Tribolium castaneum: one gene and its partners. The protein of the gene in region 1 purifies or fractionates together with the protein of each later gene. This does not show direct contact. Links are inferred from orthologs where the notes say so. Each region holds a gene or a part of one and is shown in the gene's direction. Other genes may lie near its edges.

What was found. Proteins that work in one complex are often made in the same cells at the same time.
Region 2: the proteins of elgi (region 1) and calcyclin-binding protein purify together in Homo sapiens (affinity purification with mass spectrometry; 4 studies listed by BioGRID and IntAct, with this or other methods). This does not show direct contact. The link is inferred for Tribolium castaneum from reciprocal best matches to the Homo sapiens genes RNF41 and CACYBP.
Region 3: the proteins of elgi (region 1) and ema purify together in Homo sapiens (affinity purification with mass spectrometry; 3 studies listed by BioGRID and IntAct, with this or other methods). This does not show direct contact. The link is inferred for Tribolium castaneum from reciprocal best matches to the Homo sapiens genes RNF41 and CLEC16A.

The regions. Positions count from the first base shown.
Region 1 is NC_087394.1:31,068,670-31,079,835, forward strand, and holds elgi (E3 ubiquitin-protein ligase NRDP1), read left to right. Parts: upstream 1-6,794; coding exon 6,795-7,075; intron 7,076-7,125; coding exon 7,126-7,570; intron 7,571-7,616; coding exon 7,617-7,886; 3' UTR 7,887-9,400; downstream 9,401-11,166. Other genes in the region: scny (ubiquitin carboxyl-terminal hydrolase 36), read left to right, coding at 996-1,213, 1,265-1,503, 2,592-3,037, 3,097-3,372, 3,943-4,860, 5,058-5,180; THUMP domain-containing protein 1 homolog, read right to left, coding at 5,716-6,471; uncharacterized protein LOC103312325, read right to left, coding at 9,401-9,626, 9,672-9,892, 9,938-10,158, 10,203-10,326. UniProt on the Homo sapiens protein: Acts as E3 ubiquitin-protein ligase and regulates the degradation of target proteins. Polyubiquitinates MYD88. Negatively regulates MYD88-dependent production of pro-inflammatory cytokines.
Region 2 is NC_087400.1:1,873,777-1,884,079, forward strand, and holds calcyclin-binding protein, read left to right. Parts: upstream 1-5,083; 5' UTR 5,084-5,198; coding exon 5,199-5,219; intron 5,220-5,266; coding exon 5,267-5,462; intron 5,463-5,513; coding exon 5,514-5,720; intron 5,721-5,773; coding exon 5,774-5,927; intron 5,928-5,974; coding exon 5,975-6,059; 3' UTR 6,060-6,168; downstream 6,169-10,303. Other genes in the region: protein bric-a-brac 1, read left to right, coding at 439-813, 2,351-2,741, 4,153-4,439; Agpat1 (1-acyl-sn-glycerol-3-phosphate acyltransferase alpha), read right to left, coding at 8,278-8,441, 8,489-8,654. UniProt on the Homo sapiens protein: May be involved in calcium-dependent ubiquitination and subsequent proteasomal degradation of target proteins. Probably serves as a molecular bridge in ubiquitin E3 complexes. Participates in the ubiquitin-mediated degradation of beta-catenin (CTNNB1).
Region 3 is NC_087399.1:2,865,948-2,877,113, forward strand, and holds the start of ema (protein CLEC16A homolog), read left to right. Parts: upstream 1-5,222; 5' UTR 5,223-5,385; coding exon 5,386-5,588; intron 5,589-5,634; coding exon 5,635-5,774; intron 5,775-5,822; coding exon 5,823-5,971; intron 5,972-6,017; coding exon 6,018-6,247; intron 6,248-6,298; coding exon 6,299-6,987; intron 6,988-7,039; coding exon 7,040-7,500; intron 7,501-9,076; coding exon 9,077-9,230; intron 9,231-9,433; coding exon 9,434-9,747; intron 9,748-11,166. Other genes in the region: Mt2 (tRNA (cytosine(38)-C(5))-methyltransferase), read left to right, coding at 3,962-4,016, 4,070-4,542, 4,587-5,048. UniProt on the Homo sapiens protein: Regulator of mitophagy through the upstream regulation of the RNF41/NRDP1-PRKN pathway. Mitophagy is a selective form of autophagy necessary for mitochondrial quality control.

The DNA.
Region 1 (11,166 bases):
TTTAAAGATATTTGCTGGGACACCCTGTGTATGTTACCCGTAGTGCCGATGCGTATTCCTGGTTGCTCACATCAAGTATTTTTTTAATTTATATTTTAAATTCAAACTTTTACTTACAATTTAAAATTTTTGCATGGAAACGCATTGAATTTTATTTTTACGACTAATACGTATTATTAGTGTCGTAAAAGTATAATCAACAAATTACGTCACACACGAATCTTATCTTAAAAGGTGATAGCAATTAATTACTAGCAAGGCCCTCCTTTAGTACACAACATTTTTTAAAAAATGTACCCGTTTTTAAGGTACCCTTTTTTAACAAGTTAAAATTTTCCACAGAGGAATTCAATTTTGGACAAATTCACCTTTCAAAAATTTAATTATTAAAGTAAATAATAACAAGTAAAATTACACTGATCATTATTGCGCACAATAATTGAGTTATTAATAAAAAACTAATAAAATTAGAAACATTTGGCAATTTCCAAAAAATTCCAAAAAAAATCAAGTTGGTTAACGGCAAATTTCGGTAACCTTAACCCCTTAACAAAAACAAAAATAACCAAACCATTGAAATAAGAATCAAATGTGTGGGTGTTGAGCCTTGGCAAATATTTAATAATAAAAGACCTAAAGCAATAACAAATAACCCTCCGTAAAAATTATAGATTTGGAAAAGTACGGTTCAATACCAAAAGAGCTCGTAGTTGTCGCGCTGCCCTTGGGGCGAATTGACATGCGCACTAGTGACAACAAGCTGAAAATCGTCGTTCGGAGCAAATTCTGGTGGTGCCACTGATGTTCTAAATAAATCGCGCAATTGGCGTTATCTGATAAAAAACCGCGTCGCGCCAACTCGCCCCCGAGCCAGTGTTCGAGACTATGCTGCACCGACAGCCCCCGAGCCCCAGCTAGCACCGTTCGAAGCCAGACAATACGGTAGGTGGCCGCCACAACGCGGGGTTTCTCTGGCACGTGTAGCTGTCACAGGGATGCCGGCGTCCACCCTCGAGCCCGTGAACGCGGCTTTGCGCTCCGCCCTCACCAAGACCGACGACAGTTCTCTGGACACGCAGTTGGCGGGATCCACCAAGAAGGCCCTCCTGTCCAACATCGACTTCGAGCCGGCCGGGAGCTACCAAAGCACCGTCTTGGACAAACTCAAGTCGAAGTACATCGTGTTGAAAAGCTCGGAGACTCCGCAGCCCAGGTGAGTTTCGCCGTTTTGAGGGGCTCTTGTGATTTTTCGCTCAATCCGCAGCAAGCCTGAGGGAGACATGGGCGCGGATGAAACGCTCAAATTGGCTAGTTACGAGCTGTATCCTTTTGAAGCTGTGCAGTTAGGTTGGAGTAAATGTGACTGGTCAGTGGGGGCCGGCATGATTAACATGGGAAATACCTGTTATCTCAACTCTACGCTTCAAGCACTTTTCCACGTTCCCGCTCTTGTCAATTGGCTCATTTCTGATAAGGAACACACAGCTGAATGCCAGGACTCAGGTTTGTTCACCACAAGCATTTTATTATTTACAAAATTTTATTAAAAATAAGCTCTAAATCTAGTTGAGCAAATACAGTATGGAAAAAATCTAGTGTTATCAAGTAAAACATCAAATCTTCTAAACGGAAAATTTTATTTACATAATAATCATTTTTAACATTTAATTTAAAACACTTCTGCTCGCTGTTTACGTATTGTTTTAAAATTTCAAATAATAAAAAAAAATAATTCCAATAATATGATTAGTGTAGATGTCTATATTACCGGCAAGGTCAAAGAATCTTTCAGTACACTGGTTCTTTCGTTGATTACTATTTCTGATTTTCCTTTATTTATTTACCGTTGAAAAGAAAAGTAAAAATTAAAATTTCCTGTTTGTTGACAGTTTTCGTGGTATTGAGAATTTGAAGCGACTTTTTTTTAACAGAAATGTTACTCTCTTATCTTTAGTTGACACCACTAACAAATTTTTTCATGTTAATTTTAGTAAAAAAAATTGGAAGTTCCGGGTTTTGGTGTATATTTTGAAAAAAAATTAATTTTAATTTTATTTTTTATTTATTTTGTTACCAAAATATTGACGATTTTGTCTTAGTTATTTCTGTTCACATCTGTTTGATTAAAAAATAAACATTAATTGTTTTTGGGCTGATTACGAAAGCTCTCAATTTTGAAACTGTCATTGTGACACAAACATACTTAATTGTAAACGAGCATTACAAAAATTTTACACGGAAATTGCAAGCTGACTGGCCTTGTTATTATGTTAATTAATTTATTTATTATTAAATTATTTTATTCACTATTAAGCCGCATAAACAGAATTTCTATACACGACAATATAAAAATGTGAGAATGGCGCCAATATATTTGATCAATTAAGATAATATTGTGAATACAACTGCGCAATAACTGTTTAGCTTACCTCTAGAACTCTTATCGAAGCAATGATTAGAATTAGAAGTGGTTTTTAATGAGCAAATAAAGCAATAGCATGTGCTTTTTAATCACGAAACTTAAGACATTTCGAAATTTTTAATAAATAATTGAGTGAATTTTTTGACTGAGAGCTTCTTATGTTTTGCAGGTGGGCTGTGCATAATATGTGCAATGCGGAAGACTCTCCAAGACTCCCAACAACGTAACACAAACACAATCCGTCCTCTCCTCATCTACAACAAGCTGCGTTTGGTGTGTCGAAACCTCATCCCGGGTCGGCAAGAAGATGCGCACGAATTTCTTAGATATCTAGTGGAAGCAATGGAAAAATCCTATTTAAGTCGATTTAAAAACCATTCCGAATTTGATTCAAAAGTGAAAGAGACCACACCTCTCAATCAAATACTAGGCGGATATTTAAGATCGGCAGTGAGATGTTTGAAGTGTGGTCACGTCAGCACCACCTTCCAACACTTTCAAGATTTACTATTAGACATTAGGAAAGCTCAAACGCTCGACGAGGCGTTGGAAGGTTACTTCTCTAGGGAAAAATTGGACGATGACTCGTATCATTGTCAGTCTTGTCAGAAAAAAGTGGGTATTTGTATTCAAAAGTTTGATTTTGTTACTTATCTATGTTTTCTCTTGTCTAGGTACCTGCAACAAAACAGTTCTCCCTTGAAAGAGCCCCTATGGTTCTTTGTATACAACTCAAACGGTTTTCTGTTAGCAATAATAAAATTACTAAACATATACATTTTCGACAAAGACTGGATCTAACAAGGTATGCCAGACATCGTCCCAGTGTTCCACTGATCTATAGACTTGTTGCCTTAGTCACACATATGGGACCTACTGTTAATTGTGGCCACTACACTGCAGTTGCCCAAGCGCCGTCTGGTAATTTTTACCAGTTTGATGATAGTATGGTAAGAGTAACATTGACAAACTGACCAGTTTCCATTAAAAATTACACTATGAAATTATTGCTTCATATTTGGTGACCCAGGCACTATTAAACACTGATTAAACCTTTGTAAAATAAAGTTTTTCTAAGTAAAAAATATTAAATAAGCATCGTAAATGTGCTATCGTCAGTTTTTTAAGAAAAATGTATTTGAAGGAGATATCCTCCGACTTTCATTACGTTAACTAACATTTGATGAAAGCTAAATGTCAATTGGAGCATACATTATTTCTAATAAAATAGGTCAAGGAAAACAACAGGGTGCATTTTTTTATTCTAATAAGAATTATTTCAATAATTTATTTTATCAGTGACATACCATGTAATACAAGATCGTAAGACATGTTACAAAAAATATTATATCCCAAATACCTACAAGGTTCTGCTTATTTTTCGCCCCATAATTGTGTAATAATATGATTAGGGACAGTTATAAAACTTACGCATTCATAATACAAACATGTGTGTCTACAAAAACGTTATGTAGGGGATAATTAATTGACGAAAAATTTATTTCTCCCTTCCTTCACAGGTGCGGGTGATATCTCACCAAGCTGTGTTCAATACAAACGCATACATAATGCTGTACGAATTAGAGTCATCTCCATTTACCAAATCAAATAACGGGACAAACAACAAGATAAAACCTCCGCTTTCTCCCGAAGCAAATACTAGCAACAACACATCAAAAGCTTCACTGAACGGTATCGGTTTTACGAGCGACAAAGTCTACGGCCCCGAACTGCCCCCCGACCGAGTAGAAAAGAAAATCAACGGTGTTAACCCCACACCGGTCACTAACGGTAACGGAAATCACTCAGAGAGTTCCGGAACGAGCGACAGCGAACCGGAAAATCCGCAAAAAAGTCCACAAAAAGAAAACAAACCGGTGGCGACACCTCCGCTTCCCCCGAAAAAATCAATGCCTAGCATAAATAACGAGGAAACCGCCAAATCACCACTAATGCAAAAGAATCGGACGTTATCGCCACGCAATACTAATAGTACAACACCGATTAGTTCAACAAATGCGGAAAAGAAAGGGTCATTTCAGCCGGTTACTACGAAATTGGTTCCGTATGAGACGGACGATTCGAGTTGTTCCGACGAATCGAATCAGTCGCCACAGGATGTGGAGTATAGAGTTTCTACGAAGGCGGCAGTGGGCGATTGGAAGGTTACTTCAACTGAACCAACGACGCAGAGTAAAAGTTGGGGAGAGAAAAAACAAGATGGGACTGTTAGCGAATTGTTCAAAATGTCCCACAGTGGGTATTCGGCACCTGTTTCCTCGTGGAACGGTACTAGGTCTCAGCTAGATAAGGAAATTAGCAACGAAAGGAGAGAAGACAGAAAGAGAGCTTTGAGTGATAATTCGGACCAAGGCAAAGTCAAACATCAAAAACTGAATAACTCCTACAAGTCTAATCCTGGTTACAATCCCGTACAAGTGAGTAATTTGTTAGTTCCGATAATAGCTTCTTTATATTTTTTGAAAAGCTATTAAATATATTAAAAAATATTTTGCAAATTTAAAAATAGTTTCCTAAACTTCTTGGATAAAAATATAGAAAATTGAGTGATTTTAGCTGTCGTTTCGTATTCAAATATTTGTATGAATTGTTGTATATCGTATTTTTGTTTCAGGAATTTCACAACACTAAGAACTGGAGTCAGAACAACGGTTACAAGCCGTTTTATTCGGGCAACCGGCACCGTCGTAATTTCCACCACAAAAGCTTTCATAAAAATTACCGCTTTAGGCAGTGATTAATTTTAAGGTTGAATATTTTTACATAGGCAATTGAACTTGTATAATTGTGCATATTATGTCACCATTGTTTAGCATAACTGAATTTGTGAATTTATAATGTAAGTATTTATATTTTTAAACAAACTATAATTCCTAATTTTGATTGAAAAACCGATGTAATAAAGTAGCGATAGTATAATTAACAATGAAATCTTTTAGGAAGTGGTATTTGTTTCATTTTTTTGAGCTTAATGTTCACAGTGCATTTAAAATACTGTATTTTTTCTATTTCTTTTCCTATTTGTACAAAGATTTATTTACCATTAAGCATAAAGATATTAAACTTTTACCATATATTACTTTAATGTTTATTAACTTCTTGAAATTGACGAATGTTTTGAATTTTATGATGCAACTTTGAAATTTTAAACAATGGTAATAGTCAAACCTACACTATGTGTACTCATGTTGTAGCAATGCAACCATGTATCTGTTCTAGAACAAAACTTTGGAAATAAAATTTTTATATTAATAGAAAATTTTATTGCAACATTAATTACAATCAGCTACTTGTTCTTGACTACAAAGTGACAATAAATTATACTTTTTGTGCTTAAGATAGTCAGGTATAACACTTAAAAACGCAAACCCCTTTATCACTTCAACAATAATAGCCACTTTTGCCTCTTTAAGATCAACTTTATGATCAGGCCTCAGCTCGGACACTTTCGCTGCAATTAATTTTATGACTTCATCCCGCGAAACAACATTATTATTCCGGTGGTTGAAGATCACACAAAACGTTTGCGGGGACTCCACAAAGTGTTTCTGGGCGAGGGGCACAAATGCGTTGACAATATCACTCACATTCGCCTTGCACGTAATTTCCACAGGAATCAGTCTCAGCAAAAATTTCGTTCTTTGGGTCTTACTCCCATCAACATCTTTTATAATCGCCTCTGCTAGCTCAACCGGATTCTCCAAACTCGTCCTAATGAATAGGAAATTTTTGGCACCAGATTCTATAACCTGGAATCGTTTTTCACTCTTGTCTTGCTTCAGTTCGGATATTTCTTTAGCCAACGAGTCGTCAATGTCTTGCTCAGCTTCAGGTTCGTTGCTCTCTTGGTACAATTTGTCAGCATATTCGTTTAGTAAATTGTAAGATTCCTTAATGCAGTCCTTTTCCCTGTTGTTACAACTGCAGAGGAAGCCCCGCAAGTTCACGTCCAAGCTCAGTCTTTTGTTGGAAGTTTTTTTAAAGTAGTATTTTTTGGATTTTTGTTTGGAAACAACTGGCTTACTCATGACTACGACCCCTACAAAACTATGTTGTAATATACAATTCACCAAATAAATCGATATGTGACCACTGTTCTTTGTTAATAACACGTATTAATCCAATATTTTTTTATTTGTAAGCATAAAAAGTTAAAATAAATACGCACTTAAAAATTAGGTTAGCTGAAACATCACGCCTGACCAACCTAACAGACAAAACTTCCTAAATTTTTTGTTTCTGTGTCAGACATTTTGTTGATGGGTGACATTTGTCACATATGATTTTACAATTTATAAATAAATCGCAGTGCTAAAATCCGTGCAAATTGTGATGGGTCGTTACTGTTAAAATGGGCTTTGATATTAATAGGTTTCAAGGAGATGTAGATGAGGAATTGGTGTGCCCCATTTGTTCGGGAGTACTGGAGGACCCCTTGCAGGTGTGTTTACTTATTTTTTTAATGGAAAAAGTCTTACTGGTTTTGCAGGCACCTGTGTGCGAGCATGCATTTTGCAAGTCCTGCATAACCGAATGGATCACAAGACAGCCCACATGCCCCGTGGACCGACAAAGTGTCACATCAGCGCAACTGCGCCCAGTGCCCCGAATTTTACGAAACTTGCTTTCTAGGTAATCAAAAAGTCTGAAATGAAACCGTTCGATTCAATATTTTGTTCCAGACTGTGTATAAATTGTGATAACGCTCAGTATGGCTGTACGCGTGTATTAAAATTAGACTCTCTCTCGAACCACCTTGAAGAATGCGAACATAATCCTAAGAGACCTTTACCGTGTGAGAAGGGCTGTGGTTTAGTGATTCCTAAAGATGAGTTGAAAGACCACAATTGCGTGAAAGAACTGCGAGCGCTGATACAGACCCAGCAGCAGAAAATGAACGACTTCCAGCAGGAAATCACCGAGCAGCGCTTCCTAATCAACGAGCAAAAGCGCGAAATGCAGCTGCTGAAGGAGTTCATGAGGGCCATGAGGATATCGAACCCTTCAATGAGGGCAATAGCTGATGCAATGGAGAGAGATGAAGTCTTAAGGTGGAGCAACTTTCTCCAAAGGGCGCGAGTCACCCGATGGGGAGGGATGATCTCGACACCAGATGAAGTTCTTCAAGTAGGTTCAATCAACAAGTGGCGAAATTTTCATAATTTCCTTCCAGAGAATGATTAGAAGGACGTTAACTGAGATGGGGTGCCCCAACCACATATTAGACGATCTAATGGAAAATTGTCACGAGAGGAGGTGGCCCCCCGGCTTGAGCTCGCTGGAGACCAGGCAAAACAATAGGAGACAATACGAAAACTATGTTTGTAAAAGAGTACCGGGCAAGCAGGCTGTGCTGGTACTGGCGTGCGACAATACGCATATGGGCGAAGACATGATGGTAGAGCCAGGTTTAGTTATGATTTTTGCTCACGGTATAGAGTAACCCTCTTTGTTTTTATTTTTTTTAATTACATTCCTTTTAAATACATTAATTTACATTAAGTTTAATCATAATCTTTCTCACTGCTTTATTATAAAATCTGGGGTCTGTAAGTGCCACAAATTGTTCCGTTCTGGTGGTGATGCAGTCAATTTTATCAATTAGAATTCGTAAAATTAGAAAATTGACAGGAAGTGCACTAATGATACAGGATTATTCAGCTTGAACAAATTAACTGTTTTGTAACTTACTGCAATGTGCCATTATTCATGAACCAAAAGTAAATTAAGGCTGTGGTCTACTTTATTAAAACATTTTCACCCGTTTACGTATAAATAGCTTTAATGGGTCATTTAAACACCGGTAAAAATGAAACTAATTCGCCGCTTGAGGGGCTTTAAACGTCGTTTGTAGAAAATTTAATTCTCTTCAACTGTTTTTGTTACGTTTTTCTTGTGTTTTTGATTGTATTCGCATGTAAATTATAAATTTAATAAATTATTCATGCACTTTAAAAAATAATAATAATGTAATTTATACTTTCAATGAGAGATCTAACCATTAATAATTATTGACTGTGTCTAAACTCCCGGGAGCGTCACGAATATTGAAAGTGACGTCATCAACGACCAGGATTTTTAATTGTTTTATTGATTTTTTGTATTTTACACATAATTTTTGTTGTAAATATTATAGCAATCCTTAAATTTTCCAATTGGAGGAGAAGCCAATCAGTCAAGTCTTTAATAACGATTGCAAGGCCAAATTTAAAAAATACTTACATTTTATTTTTTATTACACAAAAAGTTTGTGTCTTCGAGCATCATATATATATGATGAGTGCCTATAATAATAGGGAGAATTTTTTTGCAGACCAGTGTTATTGAACTTACTTTTTGCAATCAAGAAATTATTATAAACGTTGACTGCATCATCAATTTTGTTCCAGAACGTGTTCATTTGTCGATTTTATAATGCGTAAAGTCATCAATAATTCCTGCCGCCAGGATAATTGATTACTTTTGCATTTTCAAAGAATTTGCTGTTAATATTGATTTTTCAACAATAACGGAAACGCTGACGCAGACTTGAATGTTGGTGGATGTGCGGTTTTCCCGTTTTGTTTCGTTTTAGTTATGTATAGTTTAATGATCTGACATTTGATCTCAAAAATTCACAACAAAGTCGTTCCTACATCCGATCGGATTTGGTCTGACATAACACTAGTCACGTCAGAAATGTGATTTAATTTCTAAATTTTTTGAATGGAGGTATGGAAATATCAAACACTAAATTCTACTCGAAGCTCCCCTACGTTTTGAGGACTAGCAAAGGAACTCAAAGAGCTAAATACATTTGTGTAGCTTCTTGCAGTTAATTTTTGTTAGGGTTTTGGGGGGTGCGATGTTTATTTATTTTGTAATGTGATTAATATTGAGGCTTAAATGTACTTAACTTCTGTTGGGCATTTTGTAGTTCTTATGTGCTGCCAATTCTTGTAATAAACAAGTAAATTTTTATATGTTAATGTGATTACGACCCCGTTTGTAAAAGTAAAACACGAATTCGGACACGAGAAATAATAACGCGATTAAAACACCGCCTAAAAACAGTAAAATTGCGGATCCTACGTGTTCACGACCGGCACTTGAATACCCAGGATTCAAGTTGAGAGTTGAAACAGGCCGTAAATTTGATTTGAGAATTTTTTGCAATATTCCAGACTCGTCCAAAGCAATTACACTGAAAAACAATGATATAACGTATTCCAACAATCTTAAATATTACTGTTTGTTTATGTTTTTTTTCCACGAATTATTACGCAGCGTCAGAAAACCTTGGGTGTATCTCACATTCAGTTTCATTGTTTGCAAGGATAGAATTTCGTCGAGGCCCAAATTATTCACCATGTACTGCTGTAATGAAATTTCAGGGCCCACACCGATCCTGTCGTTTATATCCAATTTTTCAAATAGAGCATTTAAGTCAGAGACGTATTCTGTTACAAGCTGAAACAGTTGTTGCAAAGTCGTTCACATAAACTCAGAAATTACAAATCTTTCTTTGAATTGTTTTATCTCGCTCCGGGTGCACTCAGGACTGATCAAGTGAAGTTTATCGATTCTGAGGTTCTGTAAATTAGCGTTAGTTTCGACGTTTTCCACCAGAATTGAAGTTATAGCAGCCGCAAAACCGGTGTACAATAAATACGCCATCAGATATCCCAGGAAAAATATCAAGCAACTGGCAAAACCGCTCGGTGTGTGACTTAGGCCTTTAAATTTTGGTTCCGTAAGGACAAATTTTGAATTTTTTTACCTTGTTGGCACGCAGCGGCAATGGCCCAAAGTGTTATCTCAACCCACGTCCATGTTTCGTAACTTGGTCGCATCATTGCGTATTTTCGGGTTGAGATTCGTAAACATACAGCCAGAAGGATCATTATTGCAAAGAAAACCAACCACAGTGAGCCGGCAAACGTTAAAATGAATATATCTTTGGTGAATCGCAACTTGCTGGGTTTGTAAACCAATATCAAACTACAATTGAGTAACGCATGCAAGGATTTTTCACTGGTTTAAATAACGTACTTGCTCTTTATGACTGGGTATAACTCGGTTACATTTGAGGGCAAATTCTCAGAATGTGGGTGGCAGATTACTAAATCAATTTCGTTGTTGAAAAGTTGAGTTAAATTGTTTATTACTTTGAATTCAGTGCTGGAATTAAAAATTCATTGGCTCTATCTAAAGTGTCATTTTTCTCGATAAAGAAAACAGTTTAATACTCCTCTCAATGCACTAAGGATTAGGGATGTTTTACCTGATATTTAAGGCTTCTCGAAAATTTTCAATTATGTCAATACTGTAACCTTCGATCATTGTTTGATTATCGTTGATCGTCATCCGACAATCGAGAAAATCAAACGTTGATGCTTTTTCTGCAAACACTCCAATTTTTAGAGTCGTGTTTAATACATGTTCGTCTTCGGTTGCAAAAATATACTTATACTCGAACCAAACTTGGCTCGAGTTGTCCACATTTTCAAGAACTTCAATAGAGGCCTTATTCACTTTTTTGTGAGCTATGAAAAATTGAATAGCGTCTCTGGATTGAACCCAAGGAAGGGACACAATCAAGCAGAGAGCAATGATACGCATTTTTGCGAAGTGATTGGAAGAGTGGTTGATTTTATATGAAATTAATGTTTGAACAGTGTCAGGTCTTTGTGATCACGATGAAATGCACTTTCCTTTGTGTACTTCTAAGTAAAGCATTTATT
Region 2 (10,303 bases), on another chromosome or scaffold:
TGGCAAAACATAAACAACCGGCTGTCACTATCACTGTCAACTGTCAATTGTCAATTGTCAATAGAATTAAAAAGGGATTTTAATCAACAATTAAGTAATATAACCCTCGACTAGTTGCGTATTTATCGAAGTGGGGGCCCCCTGATTGTTGTCCAAGTCGTAAATAATTATTCTGCCCCTTTTTTGTTGATAAGACATTGACATAAGAAAAATGACGTCACACTTGTCTTGTCCTCCATTTTCATGATGCTTGTATGATGCTTGAAAAAAATCGGTTTAAATTGCAAATAAGTGTGAATTTGCTACAAGTGTGAGTAAAAACACTTACTTTCGCCCACACTTATGATTATTCAACAGGTGGTACGTTATCTTCACCCAAATGAATGTTTTTTGGACCTGACTTTTTGTGACTTTTTTTAGTAAAAATAGCCGGTTAAAATGGAAGGCGAGCAGTTTTCTTTGTGTTGGAACAATTTTCACAGTAATTTAAGTTCGGGGTTCAATTCCCTGCTCAAGGATGAGGATTTGGTGGACGTGACTTTGGCAGCAGGGGGGCGCTTCATGAAGGCCCACAAGACTGTCCTATCGGTGTGTAGCCCCTTTTTCAAGGAGCTGTTCAGGGCCAACCCTAGCAAGCACCCCATTGTCATCCTGCCTGATGTAAATTACAAGGCTCTGTGTAATTTACTGCAGTTTATGTACCAAGGGGAGGTCAGTGTGAGTCAAGAGGAAATACCCATGTTTATGAGGGTGGCGGAGATGCTGAAAGTCAAGGGGTTGACTGATAACAGCTCGTCTTCGTCCTCGTCCTCCGTAAGACATCGTTTTTTTATTTAGCATTTTTTAAATAATAATAATAATAGTTTATTAATCAACAGATTGTGGTTACAGTGAAAAAAATAGGAAAAATAATAATAAACACATAATACCAAAGCTGAACTAATTTGTCCTAAAAAGTTATTAGACAATTTATTCCACGGGGGCACTCAGCCCCCTTCTGGGGCACCCTACATAAGTACAAATTACACTATCTTATGATAAATAAAAATTACGTTCGCATGTCAAATTTCATAAAAATTGGTTAAATATTTTTCAAGATATAAAAATAAACATATGTCTTGGGAGGCTATTTTTTAAGAATAATAAATTGAAAACTTTTTTTTTGAAAAAATACAAAATACGTGTCACTTAATTTTTAATAAATTTTTTTTTTTTTTTTTTATAATTTTGGTCAAAACTTCATCCCGCTATTGTCTTTTGTTTTCGAGTTATATCTTAAAAGATTCATATCTTTTTTATTATAAAGGATTCACGTTTGAAACAAAGTCATTATACAGGCACTTTTTTGTAGAGAATTTAGTAATGTTATCAGCGATTTTTTTTAATCATTCGTTTAGCTGTAATAACATAAAATTGTATTTTTTTTAATGGGAATCATAGTTGGCTATGACATTTTCGAAAAGCTTATTTTTTTTCCGAACTCAAAACAATATAAATATAGTTTGATGTTTTTGTATATTTTTGATAAAAATATATTTAAAATATTTGAAAGTAGTTGGCCATGGAAAAATTATTTCACATAAAAGGTGTGAATAATCTAGAAATTTTGTGAACGGTTATTAAAGTAAAAAATGTGAAATTATAAAAATAAGTTAAAGTTATTTTCAATTGAACAAATATACGAGCGTCGCAGATTTTAATTACATAAAAAATGTACAGAAAATTGCAAACGATGTGTCACTACCACTAGATGCCGCTTTTTATGATTTAGTGCAATGGAGGTGACGTTGATAATGTTGTGTATTTTTTTAGCGCAGATGGAATTTGATTTTGGTGTTTGGATTGACATTTTTTTGTAAAATAAAATTTTATTGATAGGCAATCATACAATTAATAAGATTTTTCTTCTTCCGACATTTCTTGTTTAAAATTGGAAAATAGAATGACAACGTAAGCTTGCCATTTTAAATATAAAAACAAATAGTTTTTATTAATTGCAAAAATTTGATCTAATAATAATTTATTATGCTGTTTTTGAATTAATTAGGGATTAAAAAATCATTAAATTATAAATACTTGTTGGGTAATACAATTTTCATAGTTTTAATTAAAAATCCAAAATTTTTTCATGGCCTACTATAAAGAAAAAGCGAAATGTTTTAGTTTTTCTTAAATATTTAAAATTAATGTATTACACAAACAGACATATCAAATCAGAAAAAAATAATTTTTTCAAAAATGTCATAGCCAACTATGATTCCTATTTAAAAAAATACAACTTTATGTTATTACAGTTAAACGAATGAGTAATAAATTCTCGTAAAAAAGTAAAGCACTTGGTAATTTTTAGGAATCAAACGGCTACACTGCATCCAGTCGAATCCCGTACAGTTTTTCCGACCAAAGACAAATCATGAAACGACCAAGACCTGTCAAAAAAGTGATAAAGCCCATGCAGCCCCTGCGACCTATTGACAGCCCCAAACCAAGGTCACCTCATCCTCCGCCCCCTAAACGGCCCCACATTGAGGAGCCCCCTATCAGACAGGAAGAACAAGAGTTTCCTGAAGCGTTAGTGAAGCCAAAGGAAGAGCCTCTGGATGATACCGAAAGTAACACTTCACAAAAGTTTGAAGAAAATAGTTTAGATTTGTCAACGATGTTGGATACGAAAATTGGGGAGTCGTCAAGTTGGCAAACCTCCGAAATTATCAATAAACCTCAGGATTCGTCAACACCAGGTATGCGAAACTGTGATCGTTGTGCTTTTTATGTAAATGGATGTTTTTGGCTTGAATTATTTTTAGAACCATTGATTGAAAGTAGATTATGTTATTAGGTGTAAAAGTGGCGATCTTGAACATTTATTTTATTTTTTTAATAAGGTCTGTCCACAATGACTTTTTATGTGTGGCTAAAAAGTATGGATACAGTTAAATATTTTCAGAACGTTTTAACAGAAAACCTTGGAATTTGGGGAACAGTTAAAAGTGTTTAAATTCTATCATCTGAGAGCATTATCAAATTTTTATCATCATTTATTTTGAAAATTCAAGGCTAACTTGATTTTTTTAAATGGCACGAAGAGTCAAATTTGACCATTTTAAAAAGGGCATTTTTTCTGAATTCAATGATGTAACATGATACCCACCTTTACTTTTATTAAAATGTAAAAAAATAAAAATTCAAAAATTTTCTGGAATAGTAAAACTAAGTTGGCTTTGAAAATACGTTATAAGCGATATCGGTCACTTGTATTTTAGCCAAAAATTAAACTTGGGTGCAATAATTAGTTTAATAATAGTACATTTAAGTAAAACTGAGCGAAAAAAATTCCCATGTTAGTTTATCATGGAGACAGAAAGCCAAGAAGTTAGTGGAAATCAGTTTGAACATCGTTTGTAGCGTAAAAATCAAGTATTCCGTGTTTAAAATTTCCTAATTAAAACGTTAAAAGTGTTATTTTAACAATTATTTTTAACTTTTACTTATTTTGTGGTTAATGAGCTAACGATAGATAAAGACAACATTTTCAAGGCTAATAAGATTTTACATTTTTCAAAATTTTCGATTTTTTTAAGTTTCGATTAAATTAAGGTATGCATGTGTTATACCATAGAACTCAGAAAAAAATGCTCTTCTCAAAAATATTAAATTTGACCCTTGTTGCTATTAAAAAAAAATAAGTTAGCCTTGTATCTGAAGAACAAATGGAGATAGAAATTTAATAAACATCTGAAAACCAAATTTTAATAAGTTTTGATCAATAGTTTTTATAATATTTAACTGTATTTATACTTTTTAGCGACCCTGTAGTTTTACATTTTTTTACATACATATTTTGTAATATGTTTTTTTTATTCATAATAATGAACAAAAAAAAATAAAAAAAAATTTGTGACGGTGTGATGAAATTGTGCAAAAATTTGCGGGACCTGCGTAAAATAATACACATTGAACTTTTAAATACCTCAATTATTTTCTTATAATTTCCGTTATATGGCATTTCTTTCTCTTTAGTTAGTTTTTGCTTTCGTACAGTAGCATAGTAGTACGTTTGTTGCATGATACTTGCTCCAAAATGCCATATAATTGTAGTAGTTTGTTGTTTGATTGGTATTTAATTGTTGTTGTGTATTATTTGATCTGTAGGCACCCTGCAGTGCATTCTGGGAAGACGCGGTAATCCCCGTCTGATCGTTGATGGTTACGTCTTTTATAAGAAGAGTGTGTACAAAGGCAAGGCGTTCTGGTATTGTAAAAACAGCCGATCGCCGGAAAAATGCCAAGCGGTTTGTTGGACAATGAACGGAAACATTGTCAAATGGCCGTACATGCACACGCATCCGGTCATTCCCGACGTGTTTAACCCGGACGAAGACACTGAAGTTCCTATACAAAATTTACAAGAAGTATTATGGCAGACCTCGTATAGTTAAGAAGATTTTTTTTGTGATATTTTTTGTGAGTGTCAAATTTTAGTGGTAGAAAAAATTCGATATGTAGCCAAAACATCCAGTGACGTTTGTGAGACTGTTTTGTATTTCTCTCAATTGTAAGTTCTTTTTTTAAATAAAGAAGTTTCTAATCAACAGGTGGCGGTTTGATGTTGATTAAAAGTGGGCGTGGCCAGTTGGTTCTAATCCACCAAGGTCATATTTACATACATTGTGATACGAAAAATAACCGACATATGTGGGTGTGTGTGAAGAAGAAAACGCTCAATTGTGAAGGCTGTCTCACGACCTTGAACGGACCCATACTTCTCTCGTACAGTGAACACAACCATCCACAATTACAGGACGTTATACAAAGACTGCAAGTACCTAGCTGTAGTGTGTCACCCGAACTGATGTAACACACCAATGCCATAGTTTTCGGACAAAGAATTGTTATTTATTTTTGTTGATTTATACCAAATATTTATTTCCGTTATTTTATTTTCTATGACGAGTTGGGAGTGATTTTATTGTTTTTGTTGACCAGTCAGGATATTTTATTTATTTATTTATTATCGAACGTTTTTGTATTAATTTTCCGTTAATAAAAAATGGGAACCCACGACTTGTCCTCAATACGGCCCTGTCCTTTCCTCGGGAATTGAGCGTCTCTCGGTTGGTATGGCCGAACTTTCCAGAATTTGACTGACATTTCTGGAATTTTTTCTAACCACACTTTTGTGCCCAGTGAAGTAAAAAATGTCCGGAAAAATTGACGAAGTAAGTTAATTAATTAACACTTACAATCAATTCAATTAAAATTGTAGCTCAAAAAAGACTTGGCCGAGCTTCAAGCTCTCGAAGCTCAAGCAACGCGCCACAAAGTCAAAGACTTTTTGTCGCTGGAAGTTAGGAAAATCTCAACGGAAATAACTAAATTACAAGAGCAATTAAACACAACCACTGTTCCAACACCAGTCACTTCAACGAATAAGCGCTATCGCGTCAAATTAAACAATTACGGTGAGTTTTTTCACTGAAATTGCACGTCTTGACTGCGTGTTTTTGGGACAGCTTGGGATCAAACATCGAAATTTGTGAAATTCTACGTCACTTTGCCCAAAGTTCAGACCATTCCGCCTGAAAATGTCGTTTGCCACTTCACGAATAAGTCGCTAGAGCTGGAAGTGAGAGATCTCGAAAACAAAGATTACGTCTTCACTATTAACAATCTTCTGGGGGCTGTTGACCCAGCGGCCAGTAATTGGAAGATTAAGTCAGGTGTAATATTTTTGAACCAAGTTAATTATTTAATTAAAATTGTTTTGATGTAGATATGGTGGTAATAAATGCATCAAAGGTCAAGGGGGACCCCTGGTCTCACGTGACTGAGCTTGAGAAAAAAGTAGATGATGCACAAAAAGCCAAATTCAAAACTGGGGATAATGTGGACCCCAATGAGGGCATTATGTCACTAATGAAGAATATGTAAGTTGGTTCAAATTATTTGGACTTTCGTTTGATTTGGTTTTTAGGTATGAGACAGGCGATGACGAAATGAAAAGGACAATTGCTAAAGCCTGGACTGAGAGTCAAATGAAATCGTCATCCTTATCCTAACTGGTTTTTATTTTTTTCTATTTTTATTTTGATATTTTGGAGGAGCTTAAGTTACGTTATTTGGCCCCCATTTAAGAAAGGAGTAATAAATACAATGTGAAGTATTAAACGTTTTAGTTTCAATTGGTGTGAATAATTTAAATACAATTCGGAAATAAAATTAATCAGACGCCCTCTGGTGATGACTTTTGAACTATGTCGAAAACAGTAAAGAAATTTTCGTAATTCCACATTTAACTGACATTTAATGAATTGTTCAACAATTTTGCGTGTATAGTGTTAATTACTTACAATAGAAAGAATTACTTTAAAAGTACGTGGTGGTAAATACTAGCGTTGACTTTGGTTCTGTAGTTTTTCGTGGTATAAAGTGTTTATTGTTGGAACTTGAAAGTGGATAAAAAGTGAAAAATATTTAAATTTTGATTACAAAGTGTTATCAAACTGTTGTCTAATTAAAGATTATAAGTAATGGATCACAGCGAACACAAAGTTTGGCTCAAGAAACCAATAAATTAGTGAAGTGTTATGAATTTTAGGTTAGAATTTTCCACTGAAAAAATCATGAAATGCTGCGGTAAATCTACAAAACTACAATAAAGATTAACAACTGCTGATACATTTAAACGTAAATTATGCCAAAAGGTACGCTTTTCAATGTCTTTGTAATAATTTTCTAATAAAGAAAGTGAACCAAACAGTCATTCGTTATTCGTGTTTTCCTCGTCATCTCTCATTTGTCAACATAAGTTTCTTGCATCAAAGATGCAATAATTATTCCGCATAGGCAATGCAATAATTGTGAAGCCCCAAAATTCGTACAACGCTCAAAATATCCGAATAAACATTTTCCCGCCATTTATGGTTACTGTTTTCGACCTAGCTCAGTGGCGCCCCCAACGGTAATTTTACTTCCGAATTGAATTTAAATTTTGTCCCTAATAAAACTTTCACTTGTCAGTTTCTTATCAGAGGATAGAGGGAAGCACTTTACAATCACGTGTATAACTTATTTTAATTGAAATTTTATTCACCCACTTAACAAAATTCTTATCAATTAAATAGTGAGGAAATTACTTAAAACTAAAGTACAACTGTGTCAAATATACAAAATAGTGGATAAAGTTCTATTCAATAAAATAGAAAACGTGTCAGAAGTGACAAGAAATAAAAAATTAAGCACACCCTGATACTCTTTCGTCACTTCTGATACATTTTTTTAACTTAAATAAATTAGGTACATCACCGTAAAAATCGTGCCATTCATTATAAAACCAATAAATAAATTCGATCATTTGCACTGAAAAAACGCTTTAAAAAATCACTACAAATACTTTCACTCCCTTGAAACATTGATGCAAAACTGGCCTTGTTTTATGTAAATAAATAACTGCACTATTATGATTTAAAGGTCACCTGACTGTGTTTAAAGCATTTTAAAAGTAATTCCGGAAAATAAAAAATTGTTCCTGGAGCAAATGCACTACCAAAAAAATTATTGTTTAATATTATTTTACACGTGAAAAAATTAACCTTACAAAATAGACCAAGATCACGAATCAAGGTTCATTAATTACTTACATAAATAATTATAAGTAATTACAGAACCTTGGTTGGAGCTAGAAATTTGCAGGAAAGATTAACGAAAGTTTTATTTGTAAATGTTAAAAGCCGTGGCAAAATAAAAACAATCAGTCAATAAATAAAACTATAAAAAACAATAAAGATAGAAATCGAAAATTTCGACTAGCTTAATATTTTTTTGAATTAAGGTTTTTGGGACAAAAATTGTTGCAAACATTTTCAAACACTGATACTTATTTAAATAATTAAATAACTTGACGTCCTAATTTTTTAGACTTCGGATTAATTTCTGATTTTTCTTTAAATAACTCAAGATCACAAGACCAACAACCTCGCGACCTTGCACAGTACGTTGCAAATTTGACTAAGTTCCGTCCTCTCACGTATAATTACTTTGGCATTAAACGAACAAAGTACGTTTTTTATTTTAAAGCGCCTTTTCGGTGAATTTATTGCAAAGTGGCAAGAAACACTCTAACATCGTACCTAATCTCACAGCCTTCGTTCGCTCAGTTATGGCATCTTGAAACCGGTGAAAAAAAATAAATTAAAACATAATCAAGCCCCGGCTTCTGCTGCGTCTTTTAAAGTACGTTGTCTTGGAATAAATTAAATAAAATCGCTATTTTTAAAATTACTGACTAGAAAACGGTCTCACGAGAGACTCTTTCATCTCTTTATTCACTTCATGGAATGTCGTCGACATTGCGTTTCGCGTGCGTTCCATGAGTTCGTCCAAATCGTCATGTGATAAATTCTCAGTTGGAATAGGCGGTAGTGCGGTAACGATTACCTTACCTATTGAGGTGTTTGTAAAAACCTATTTACCACCTTAATGTACTTACCGTGATCGAAGCGTTTATTTTGCTTATCAAGGAAATAATACTGACTGAAAACCACCGGTAAAATCGGCAATTTCGACGAGATGGCTATGTGAAAAGCCCCCTTTTTAAACGGGTGGATTTGACCGGTGTTACGGCGTGTGCCTTCAGGGAACACCCATAATTTGATCTGGAATTAATTGTTTTTAGAAAATTATTATAAGTTATGATCTTTAAAATTAAAGGATTTGGCGCTATTTTAGTCTTTTAAAAAGAAAAAAAAAACTGTTCTTCAAAACAAAAACAATCCAGAAAAATTTAAACAAGTATGAATTATTTAAAATTCTACTCATCAAAAGATGAGTGGGAGGCAATGTTTGCATACAGTTATCGGAGTCGATAAGGCTTGAAAAAATGAGAAAAACTTGTTTGTTGTACGATGATTGAGTTGCCCAACATGGTTTATTATTATTATAGGCCATATTGATAATGTAGGACAACAACATACAAAAACAATACGTTACTCTATTCGTTTCTTTCGTTTATAATTTTATAATTGATTTTTTGTCTAAAAACGTGTTTAAATCCTCAGAACTTGCATTTTGACATAAATCTGTGATTATTTCTTATCTCTTACATTTGGAAAAATTAATAATTAATAATAGTGTTTTACATGCACATTTAAAATTGTATTGTTTTTCACTGAAGTTTAAAACATATTATTATTTATGTTTTGTTTATTTTTGCTCGTATTCCTGTATTCATTATGAACAAACAAACATTACAAAAATGTTTATTCAAAAATTTTTAATCACTCATTTAAAATTGCACCCAATGGGTAAAGTTTTTTTATTAAATGAAAAATATCCGATGCAATAATTGACTTTTTCATTTTTTTAGATTATAGCTGTGTTGTTGCTGCATGTTTATAAAATATTGCACTCTATATATAGGCTGTTCCAATATTAAAAAAAACCCTAAAGTTATGTTTTTTCAAATGGAACACCCTAAATTTTATTGCATTTTTGGACGTAGCTTTTAATACTGATGATTTTAATGTAAACTTATATTGGTCGATTTTGCTTAATTTTTGAAATAATTTGATTTTTGTGACAAAGACACGCTTTTTAAAAAAAATCATTACATAAAAACTAAGAATCTCAGAAAAGTAGAACTTTCACCACTTTAAAATGGATGTTCAAACTTGAAGGAATTATAATTTTTATTAGCTTACTGCAATCAAGAAGATAAAAAATGAAGAGGTTTGTTGCAAGTTGAATAACTTCAAAATTTTAAATGGAACACCCAATTTTTTATTTTTGCATCTAAAAGACCTTTAAATTGTCTCTCTAAAAACATTAACAGTTAAGTGTCTTTTGCTGATTATTCAAAAGATATTTAACATTAAACATTAAAAAAAAATTAACTATTGTTTCAGTAGTCGAAAAGTGAAATTTTCTGCTAATAACAACTTTATGTTACCCTTAGGCCATTATTTGTCATTTATTACAGTGAAATAACTAAAGTTTTAATATTTTTGGCGAATTTTTAATTCCCGTATAAACTCCATCAAGTGGTCTGGGGTGGAGTTGCTATGGTTATGGTATGGTTACTATGGTAACAACAATGCTCATGAATAGTGTGCATTGTTGTTGAAATTAACTTTTAAAGTAAAATATCTTTTTAGTTATTAACTTTAAACATTTGAAACTTTATGTTTTTAGCTAGACAATTTAATAATCTTTGAGAAGCAAGAACAAAAAATACGGTGTTCCATTTAACTTTTTCAAGTTATTCAACTTTTAACAAACTTCTTATTTTTTTTACGTTTCTAATTGC
Region 3 (11,166 bases), on another chromosome or scaffold:
CTAGACAAAAAAAGTAACAATTGTTTAATAAAAATTAGGAACAGAACAATTATTCTTTGTTAATCTACTTTCTTAAATAAAAAAATTGTTTTAATCAAATTATTGCTTTTTTTACATTTTTACTGCTTTTATTTATTACAAATTTTTGTAAATAATTACGGTTTTTTAATTTTGTTATTATTTTGTTTTACGTTTAGGACTTGATTTATACTGACTTCAGAACAATTATCAGATAAATAAGTACGAATAATTGCTGTTTCAAAACTACAAAAAAATGACAATAGCACACTAATATTTTTTTTTTTGGGTCAAATAAATCAATAATTAAACTTTTTGTTTTTTCGTATGATTCTGTGTTAAATTGAATTCTAGGCGTAAATTTAGTGCCAAGAAAACCTGCTAATTGAGACAGAATATAATAACAACTGTTTTTATAGTTTTTATAGTATTTTGTATTAAACTAAAAAAGCTTAGTCTAAAATAGAAAATATCGCTGAAAATGGGCACACAAGTCTGAAGACTTGAAGATGCAGCTGATTGATTTAAAAAGGTTATTCAAACGAGAATTAACAATAATAAAAAAATATAAATATTCGCTCTCAAAACCACATTATTGATTCTGTATTTTTTTTGTTTATTAAATAAACTAATTGCAAATATTTGTATTAACATTTTAAATCATAGTTTTGTTGTAGCTATTATGTCTTGGTTGTTTATTTAATATATTCATTCACAGATTAACAATATCCTAGATAAAATTAAATGGTATAGGCAACCAACATTACTCATAAGTAAAATATTTGGTTAAACGCATTTATTGGTTCTACTTTTATTCTTTTTTAGTTTTTTTTAATATATAATATATAATGTATAATATATAATATATAATATATAATATATAATATATAATATATAATATATAATATATAATATATAATATATAATATATAATATATAATATTTAATATAATATATATATAATATTTTTTCTTATATTTCTTATTAAAATACTGCAATTTTGTCCATTATTTGTCAATCTACACTCTTGTCAAGAATCGATATAAAATTATTCACTTCAAAAATTAGTACTAATGAACAAAACACGACGCCCACCAAACAACTAAGCAAAGCAAGCTTTCAAAACAGTCAATAATCCGACTTTAGTCTCATTTCCCACGAAAAATGGACGTGAAAACAATTGACACAATTTTCCAATTGGGAAAATTTGCACTTTTGACCCCAAAATCACGCTCCGAAAAAACCCCATCTTTGGGCAGAAAAATCTACGCCTTTATCTTGATGGTGTTTCTAACAGTTGGCGCCCTGGTTAATATAGTTTGCAAAATCCCCCATTACCAAACCCTGGGATTGATGCAAATGGTTCTTCGAGTACTTTCCGATTTTAGTTTATTACTTTCGACGGTGTTTGCTTTAGTTATGGTGAAAACCACGACTCGCGGTTGGTACCACTTGATCCGAAACCTGTCGCAAGTTTGTGGCAGTGGTACCAGTCGCAAAACCGCATTTGTGGCATGGTTTGTTAGCGAAACTTTGATACTCATCTGCATGCAAGTGGCGTTTATGAGGAAAGCTGCGTTTCGATTTATTCAAACGCACTTTTTCCAAATTTTGCAAATATTTTTCATTTTCTTTCGAGCTGTTACGGGGATTACGGTGCTGCACATGGTGAAGCAGTGCTACCACTCGCAGAAAGAAATTATTCGGAAAGGTTTTGAAGCATTGCCAAGTGTGGAACACAATCTTCTCTTACTCAAAGAGGCTGTTTCTTGTTTTAATGATATTTTCGGGTGGAATTTTTTTTACTTTATCATTTTTGGAATTTGTAGAACTCTTGTTTTGATTGACGATAATGTGAAAAGTCCCAAAGGGATGATTACGAGAGTTGTTTATTACAACTTTTCACTTGAGGTTTTGGGGGGACTTGTGATTTTAGTTAAATTCTGGGTAAAAAAAAACATTTTTTTTTAAATAAAAGTAAAGAATTTTTAATTACAGACCTATGCACTGTACTTCATAATGCTTGCAGATAAAGTCGTGAAAGAATTTGACGATATTTTCGCTGATTTTTCAGAAATATTTGCCAGAACTACTAATAACAAAAAATATTCGTTGCTCAACGAAATTGAACAATGTCGACCGAAATTTTCGGCCGCAAGATTTTACGACATTAACAAATCCACAGTTTTCAGTATTATAAGTACTGTAACTACTTTTGTAATTATTATACTACAGTTTGAACTCAGGGTAGAATTTTAAACGACGTGTAACTTAAGACAGAAAACTGCACCTTGATTAGTTTTAAGTATTACTTATTTATAGAAAGTAGAAACACTTAAAGCACTAGTTAAACTTTGTTCCAGTAAACAATTTCAAATACTTAAAACATTAGAGCGCTTTTACATCCATTAGCTGCTCCCTTTCTCATTATTCATTCGTAAAATGAGCTTGAAAGCACTTGATACAGTTTTCAAAATCGGAAAATACATTCTACTGACTCCCGAAACACCAACAACGAAAAAACCTTCGCTTAAAAAACGTTTTTACGCATTACTTTTGATCATAATTTACACAATAACCTCCTCATTCTGTATGTTTCTGCAAAGTGCAGTTTTCAGACATCGAAGTTTAATGCAAAATTCTTTGCGAGTCGTAGTCAGCATGAATTCGTACTTTTCAGCAATTTTCTCGCTGATTAGAATCAACAGCACCACCCGAAGTTGGTACTACATGGTGAAAAATCTGTCGCAAGTTAGTAGCAGCGGTACCAACTGCAAGTGCACGTTTATGGCCTGGTTTACTGTTGTTTTGATAACCAGACTTTACGATACTTTTGTGTTTATGAAAATGTTTGGGTTTAGGTTCTTAATTTATAGTGTTAGCGATCTGGTGCTATTTTTTCGGCTAATTTTTTCAATCATTACTGCCATTACGGTGTTGCAAATGATTCAACAATGCTACCACTTTCAGAAGAAAACTTTACTGACACGTATCGCAAATAGCGTCGATTCTGACCAAGTTTTCGAAACTTTGGCTAAACTACAACCCGATTTTTTCTGCCTACAAAAAGCTGTGTCGCATTTTAATGATATTTTCGGTTGGGATATTTTGTTTTATGAGTTTTTTGTCGTTTGTAGAACGCTTGTTTACATAGACGACACTGTTAAAATGCCAGAGCATTTAAGAAAAAGGCAGCACATCGATGTTGTTCTCGAAATCTCACTGAAAATCGTTTTAATGGCATTTTTTTGGGTAAGTATTCTCGGTTCTTTACCGTGATTTAAACAGAATTTTAGCTTTTAATTCTGCACTTTACCCTGGTTTGTGACCAAGTTTTGAAAAAATATGAAGAGATTCTCAACATTTTATTAAAAATTAAATTTTTCCTTAGAAAGAAAGTGAATAAGCGAAGATCGCGTTGTTTGAGAAGAATTGAACAAAGTTGCCCTGAATTTTCCGCAGCAAGATTTTATTGCATAAATAGGGCAACACTGTTCAGTCTCTTGAATGCCGCAACTACATTTTTAATTGTTTTGTTACAATTTAAAGTGTACTAAATTCGGTATATACAATAAAGTTTGCAAGAGTCGTGTGTATTTTTCTATAACAATTTGCGTTTTTTTATAAAAATTGCGAAAAAAAATATGGCAGAACCGGAATTCGAACCTCCCACACACAGGAACATGCAAGAAACACTATTTAAAAATTCTCAAAACAGTGGTTCTGAACAGGTAGATTAATAAAAATTTTTGGCTTGGAATGGTTTAGCAAAAATTTGTGGGTACACAGAGAATGGCAAATCGAATTGATTGGTAAAATTTGAGTAAATCGAAAATTCATAGTTTTCTCAAAAAAATTATTCCGAATAAGTCCCAAAGTTTGAGAGCCCTTGAACTGAAATGAATGAGGTTAACTTAACCTATAATAAAAAACAAAGCAAAAAATGGAAATTTTGGAACTGTACAGTGGCATTGGGGGGATGCATTGGGCGTTAAAAGGTGCCCCATGCCCAGTTTATTGCTAATTTTCGCTTTATTTCTATTTTTTACAGTTAGTGGGGTAGAAGGCACAATTAAAGCAGCAGTCGACATCAACCCCACAGCCAATTCAGTCTATAAACACAATTTCCCGCACATAAATCTACTCAATCGCAACGTTCAAAGCCTGACACCACAGTTCATAAATAAATTAGGCGTTAACACAATTCTAATGTCGCCCCCTTGTCAGCCCTTTACCCGAAACGGCCTTCAGGAGGACATCAACGATGAACGAACCAAATCTTTCATCCACGTTTTAGCGATTTTACCTGATCTCAAAGTGACTAGAATCTTAATAGAAAACGTGAAAGGTTTTGAACGGTCAAAAATGAGGGACTTGTTAATTGAAACGCTGGAAAAATGCGGCTTTAATTACCAGGAATTTATTCTCACGCCTACTCAAATTGGGATACCTAACACCAGGCATCGGTACTATTGTCTCGCCAAAAAACCTCCCAATGTGTTCAATTTTAAGACAGGAGTTTTGGTACGAATTACGTTAATTAACTATTATTACGGTTTTTTTTTCAGAAAACGGAATTTCCTAATCAACAAAACGCCCCTCATTGCTTTGAAATCAGCAAAGTTTTGGAACAAAACGAATTAACTCCGTATTATTTAACCGATAAAGTTCTAACAAATTATTTGGAAACCACAGATATACGTTATAGCACTTCGAGAAACACGTGTTGTTTCACTAAGGCTTACGGACGTTACGTTAAAGGCACCGGAAGTGTTTATAGCGATTTGCCCGAAATTACACCTGAAATATTCAACCAACTTTCCGACCACGAGCCTGGAAGTAGCGCCTATTTGAAATTAGCACATGGGTTGAAAATGCGGTTTTTTACACCTAGGGAGGTTGGCAGGCTAATGAGTTTTCCTGAAGATTTTACATTCCCGGAAAATACAAGCGATAAACAAAAGTATATGTTACTGGGGAACAGTATTAACGTCCGTGTTGTAGCAGAATTAATAAAACTATTGCAATGATTCAGTCGTTTTATTGGGTGATTCCCCGTTGTGAATGCGACAGTTCGTACTAATGACAATTATAACGCCCGCGAAACGACAAAATTTGTCACAAAAATATTTTATTTAACAATAATAATCCCACAGTAATGACAAAATATGCGTTTCTGTTTGTGTGTTTAATTTAACCGGAAATTTAATGGAAAAATCCACAAATTCGTTTCGATCTGATGGGAATATGCGCATCAGCTGATTGACGTTAACAAACATCTGTCAAACGTGCCCTGTCCAAATCAAAACTAATTAAATTATCGCAAAAATGTCGCAAACCCGTGGTTATGGTGCTTAAAACTGTGCAATGTTCCGTAGTAGAAGCTGGTTCGGTGGTGGCTGGGGCCGCCCCAAGAACCCCCATTCGCTGGAACACTTGAAATACCTATACAACGTGTTGTCTCGGAACCAAACAGTGTCGGAACACAACCGGGGTTTGCTTGTGGAAACCCTTCGGTCCATAGCCGAAATTCTAATCTGGGGCGACCAAAATGACTCGTCCGTTTTTGAGTAAGATTTTTTGCCCGTTATGATGGGAGTCATCGTGAAATTGCAGCTTCTTTTTGGAGAAGAACATGTTGTCGTTCTTTCTGCGTATCATGAGACAACGAAGCGGGGGCTCGAGCTTTGTCTGCGTCCAGTTACTCCAAACGCTTAATATCCTATTCGAAAATATTAGAAACGAAACTTCGCTATGTAATTGTGGAAGGTTTCGTTTGAATTTGTAACAAAGGTGTTTTTCAGATTACTTGTTATCAAATAATCACGTTAATTCGATAATTGTGCACAAGTTCGATTTTTCGGACGAGGAAGTAATGGCGTACTATATCTCCTTTTTGAAAACTTTGAGCTTGAAACTGAACGCTCATACGATACATTTTTTCTATAATGAAGTATGTTGTGTCACCACATTTGTCTTTATGTAAAGATTTTTCGTAGCATACTAATGATTTTCCGTTGTATACGGAAGCGATCAAGTTTTTTAATCACCCTGAGTCTATGGTCAGGATAGCAGTACGTACTTTGACGCTGAATGTTTACAAAGTTGAGGACGCAAGTATGCTTGCGTTCATCAGAGACAGAACCGCAGCTCCGTATTTTTCCAACATTGTTTGGTTCATTGGCAAACATATCCAAGAGTTGGATGCTTGTGTCCGCAACGATGCCGAGTAAAATTTCGCACACATACGTAATTTTATGAACTACCAATATTTTTCCAGTCATCAGTCGCAGAATCGCTTGTCTGACCTCGTAGCAGAACACTTGGACCACCTCCACTACTTAAACGACATCCTTTGCTTGAACATCACCGATTTGAACCAAGTCCTCACCGACCACCTCTTACACAAACTCCTCATCCCTTTATACATCTACTCGCTGTCAACGGTGCGAAAGCCCACCGGAGGTGTGGAAGCAATCGCAAAAGCGCTCAATCAAAAACTGAACTTAAACGAATCATCATCATCATCAAACGGTGGGATTTCGCACGAACCCTCAACCGGGAAGGTTTCATGCGTTGTCGCTTTGTTCCTCCTGTCGCAAGTTTGTCTCATCATTTCGCACTCGCCGGTTGTCCAAACCCTTGCCTGGATAATCCTCAAAAGCGATCGCTCGATTTACGATAAAGGCGTCGAGAAATTGCTAGAAGCGTACGAACTTGAAATGAAACAAAACGGGAAAAAGGAAGAAGCCAGTGGGTCTGAAAACAGTTTCAAGGACGATGTAATTGAGGAACATAAAAACATCACCGATGAAGAGAAACAACGATTGGCGATAACGCCGACTGAGAGTGAAAGTGTGTCGGAAAAACCGTTTTTGGAAACGGTTTACAACGCATTGGACTGTTCGGAAAACGACTACGCTGCGCTTTTTGCCCTCACTTTACTGTACGCCATGGCATACAATAAAGGTGAGGAACAGTTTAGCAATTTTTGTCTTTTGGGTTTTGCATCGATTTTTAGGGATAATGCCGGACATAAACGAACAAGTATTAAGGCCTAAAAAGACCTACACGTCGAAGACTTTATCTCGCGATGTCCGCTACACTTATAACACCTATCTGGTGGACAAACTCTTGTACATAGTGCTGCTGTCGTGTCAGCCTTCGTGTCGCGTCCGTTTGGTGACGCTTGAGTTGGCTTTGAAGCTTCTGGTGCAACTAGTGATGGCTGATGGTAAAAGTGTACTTCTTGAGTCGCATAAACTGACGATAGAGTCGGCGAAAACGCAAAGTACGGCGCTCTTGAGGAATTTTTACAAGAGTGAGGAGATTTTTCTCGATATGTTTGAACATGAATACTGTGATATGTCGAAGACTTCGTTGAATGTTGAATGGTTGTGTATGGATAGCGCGATTTTGTTGCCGCCAACGGGCACACCCATGACTGGGATTGATTTCACCAAGAGGTTGCCCTGCGGAGAGGTGAGAGTTGACACAAGAAAAAAGCATAATCCGTTTTTTTATTATTATTTTCATTTATTTGTGCGAGATTTATTTACTTTTAAATAATTAAAAAATAATAATTTCAATAATAAATTGCGTATAATTGGAACTGCACTGGTATCATTTAACTATGTATGATTTATACCGGGTTCGTCAAGTTTTACACTCAGGCACTTTTCACCTCTTTGTAATTTATTTAAAATTAAAAAAAAAATCGTATGTGATTTTATTGTAGAGAAGAACGATTTGACCAGTTTTTAAAATGATTACTTGTATGGTGTGTTTTTTCACTTTCGCTTAGTTAACTATAGTCTAATGTTAACGATCTTTGGTCCATAGGTGTATTTTAAGGTAGTGCATCGAAGTGCCTAATTAAATTTTTGAGAAAATGTGTCGTTGATTTTTAAATTCTGTTTTGATATTGGGACAGCTTTTTTCCCATGAATTTTGGTAAAATTGCAAATTACTTCCACAAAAGGTCTCCATCAGGGTGGCGGTTTTCAAAAATTTATTACATTTGTCGTAAAATTGGCACGCGATCATTGTTGGGTTTGAAGGTTGAGGCAGCTGCTAAGAATTTTTCAGGCCCAGATTACCATTTATTTTATCTGTTTACTGTTTAAATGGAATGTTAATCTTTAAATCTTACGGCAAGGGTTCATGCGAATTGTAAACGAAGAATTTATTTGTGCTTAGACCAAAATAGTCATCAATTTGAACTTCTGATGTAATTTTTTAATAAAACATTTTTAACACGTTAGTGTGTTTATTCCGGTCCTGGCTTTAAAACCGCCCGATGGGACCGTGCCGCTAGTTGTAAAATTTCTGCAGTCATTACTGTTATTGGGTCCTTTTGTAGCGGAAATTTATCACTACTCAATCTTGTCCCTCATAAATTATATTGAAATTTCCGATGAATAATATCAAAATGGCTTTTAATCCAATTCTAACGATTTTTTTCAAGTCAAATTTTTGCAGAATAATTTTATTTCGTATTTCCGATCCATTGATGGAAAAAACAGCTGATGTGATTTTTTGGTCAAATGGTTTCTTTCTTTTTTATTGGACAAATGAATCAATAGAAAAAAAAATTTTTCCTAGAGAGATTGGATATCAGTGCAGTGGAATATATTTATTTCATTTTTTTTTCTCTCTTCTAAGAGGTGTAAAGTGCCTGAGTGTAAAACTTGACGAACCCGGTACATCAACTTTTTCGTTTTATTCAGAAAAATCGTTTTGCTTGAAATTATTTTAATTAAAACCAGCAATACATATTACATTTAAGGAGTGCTCTAATTTGTGAAATTAATAACTAATTTGTGCAGTAACAACCACGTGGGGTTTAAAAAATGCCCTTTCCTTTTTAGCAGTTTGTAGCAAGATATTAAAAATAAATAAAAAATAGTACAAGATTTATTTGTAGTTTTTTGTTAATTAAATCTTTTCATTTCCTTATTTGTATTTTTTGCTGTTGTGCTTTTTTATCTCTGTTTCTCTTTTATGGTTGTTTTTTCTCCTTTTGTCTTCGTAAGTAGTAGTGTTATTTTCATTTGAGCAGGTCGAGCGGGCGCGGCGAGCCATCCGCGTGTTTTTCCTGGTGCGAAACGTGGTATTGACGCTGAACGGCGAGCTGGAAACCCAACTGCCGCTCACCAACCCCCAGAGCTGCGTCCAGATTGAGCAAGCCTTGGACCTGAGTATATCTCGTTGTGTGTCACAACTGCACGAATCAAACAATCGTTAAATTGCGACTTAAACCTAATAAACTACAGTATGAAACACAACGCTTTTTATTTGATTTTTCTTATTATTTTTGCATGGTTTTTAGTGGGAGAGGATTTAACGATTGTCTCGTTCGGCGGTGTTTCATCAGACGAGGCCGCCTGATGAGAATGTTTCCGTTTTGTTGCAGATAATTCCGATTTGATCGCGTGTACGGTGCTTTGGAAAGACGGGACGAAGACGAGGCGATTTCTGGTCATTGATGTCTTGCAGCTGATTCTGGTTGAACCAGATACGAAGAGGTTGGGCTGGGGGGTGGCCAAGTTGGTTGGGTTTCTTCAAGATATTGAAGTGACTGGGGATAAGGATGATTCTAGGTGTCTGCATATTACGATACATAGGCCTTTGTCCGGGACTACGACCAATCGGGTGCCATTGCTCAGTGCCAAGTTTGTTTTCGACGATAATATCAGGTGTATGGCGGCAAAGCAGAGATTAACAAAGGTTAGTGGAATCACATCTTGAATAATAATAATAATTTATACTATATAATTTATTGTCTATAATGAACAAAAATAAATAACAGACGAGTTAGTCCTTCAATACAAAAACTGCAATAATAAATAAGAAAAAAAAACATAAAAAAAAAGAAAATACCCTGACATAATTGTGACTTTGGATAATTTCTTCTAAACTTATAGTGTTTCTCACTCCAAAATAAATCATTTGACGTAGTTGTTACGATAAAATCTTTCAAATTTGTGTATTTGTAGCTCAAAACCAATCAGGTTACACTCAATAGCCAGAAAGAGTGTTTGTTTTTGTGAAATCGTTTGAATTCAGTGTCTTTCTGGTACAAAAACCGGCCAAATTGTTGATAAATAATTGACTGAAATAGCGTAATTGTGACCTAAAACAACAATTTTGACAGTTGTTTCGAGAAAATCCCTTTAATTTAGTTTATTTATTGATTAAAAATGAATTAGATTACATAGAACAAGCAAAAATAGTGTGATTTTTTTTGGTGAAATCTCAATAATTATGTGTTTTTGGCACAAAAACGAGCTCAATCGCTGAAAATTGACTAAAATAGCATTGTTATTGTGACTTAAAGTGGCAGTTTTCTTAGGAGTTTTGAGAAAATAGCTGGAATTTATTAGTTTGTTTCTGGCTTTAAAGTTTATTTTTTTTACTTGCACTTGCTAAAAATAGTGTTAGTTTGTTCTAAAATGTTGGTTTTATGTAATTTTTTGAGAGGAATTTCTTGAATTTTGTGTGCTTCTTGTACAAAACTAGTTAAATCGCCCAAAATCGACAGTTTTATCTCTTAAATTTAGTAATTATAGCCATTATCTATTTTGATGTAAAACGTCGATTTTTTTGTAAAATCTTTCAAAGGACAAATCGTTGAAAATTTATCTCGAAAAATATGAAACTGCCAACTATTTTGTTAGTTGTTTCGACAGAATGTCTTGAATTTAACGTGTATCTGGCTTAAAAATTAATTAATTTTTTTTGCACAAGTACCTACCTAGCGTTTTTTTTTGTTATTTTTTTTATTTATTATGTGCGAAAACGAGCTAAATTTTAGCTTTATTGTGACAGATTTGTTAGTAATCTCGACGAAATCTTGTGAATTTAGTATATTTCTGGCCCAGAAATTAATTAATTTACGACAAACAGTTGACCTAAAAGGTGATTTTTTAGTGAAATCTCTTGAATTCAGTGTTTCTGAGACAAAAATGAGCCAAATCGCTCAAAATTTACTGAATTGACACAATTTTCTTGGTTGTTTCAACAAAATCCCTTAAAAAAATTATTACTTGATTACTTGCAGTTCTTAAAAATAAGTGTTTTTGAGGTTTTTTTTGGAAAATCTCGTGATTTTTTTTATAAAAAAACGAGTTAATCGCTCACAAATGA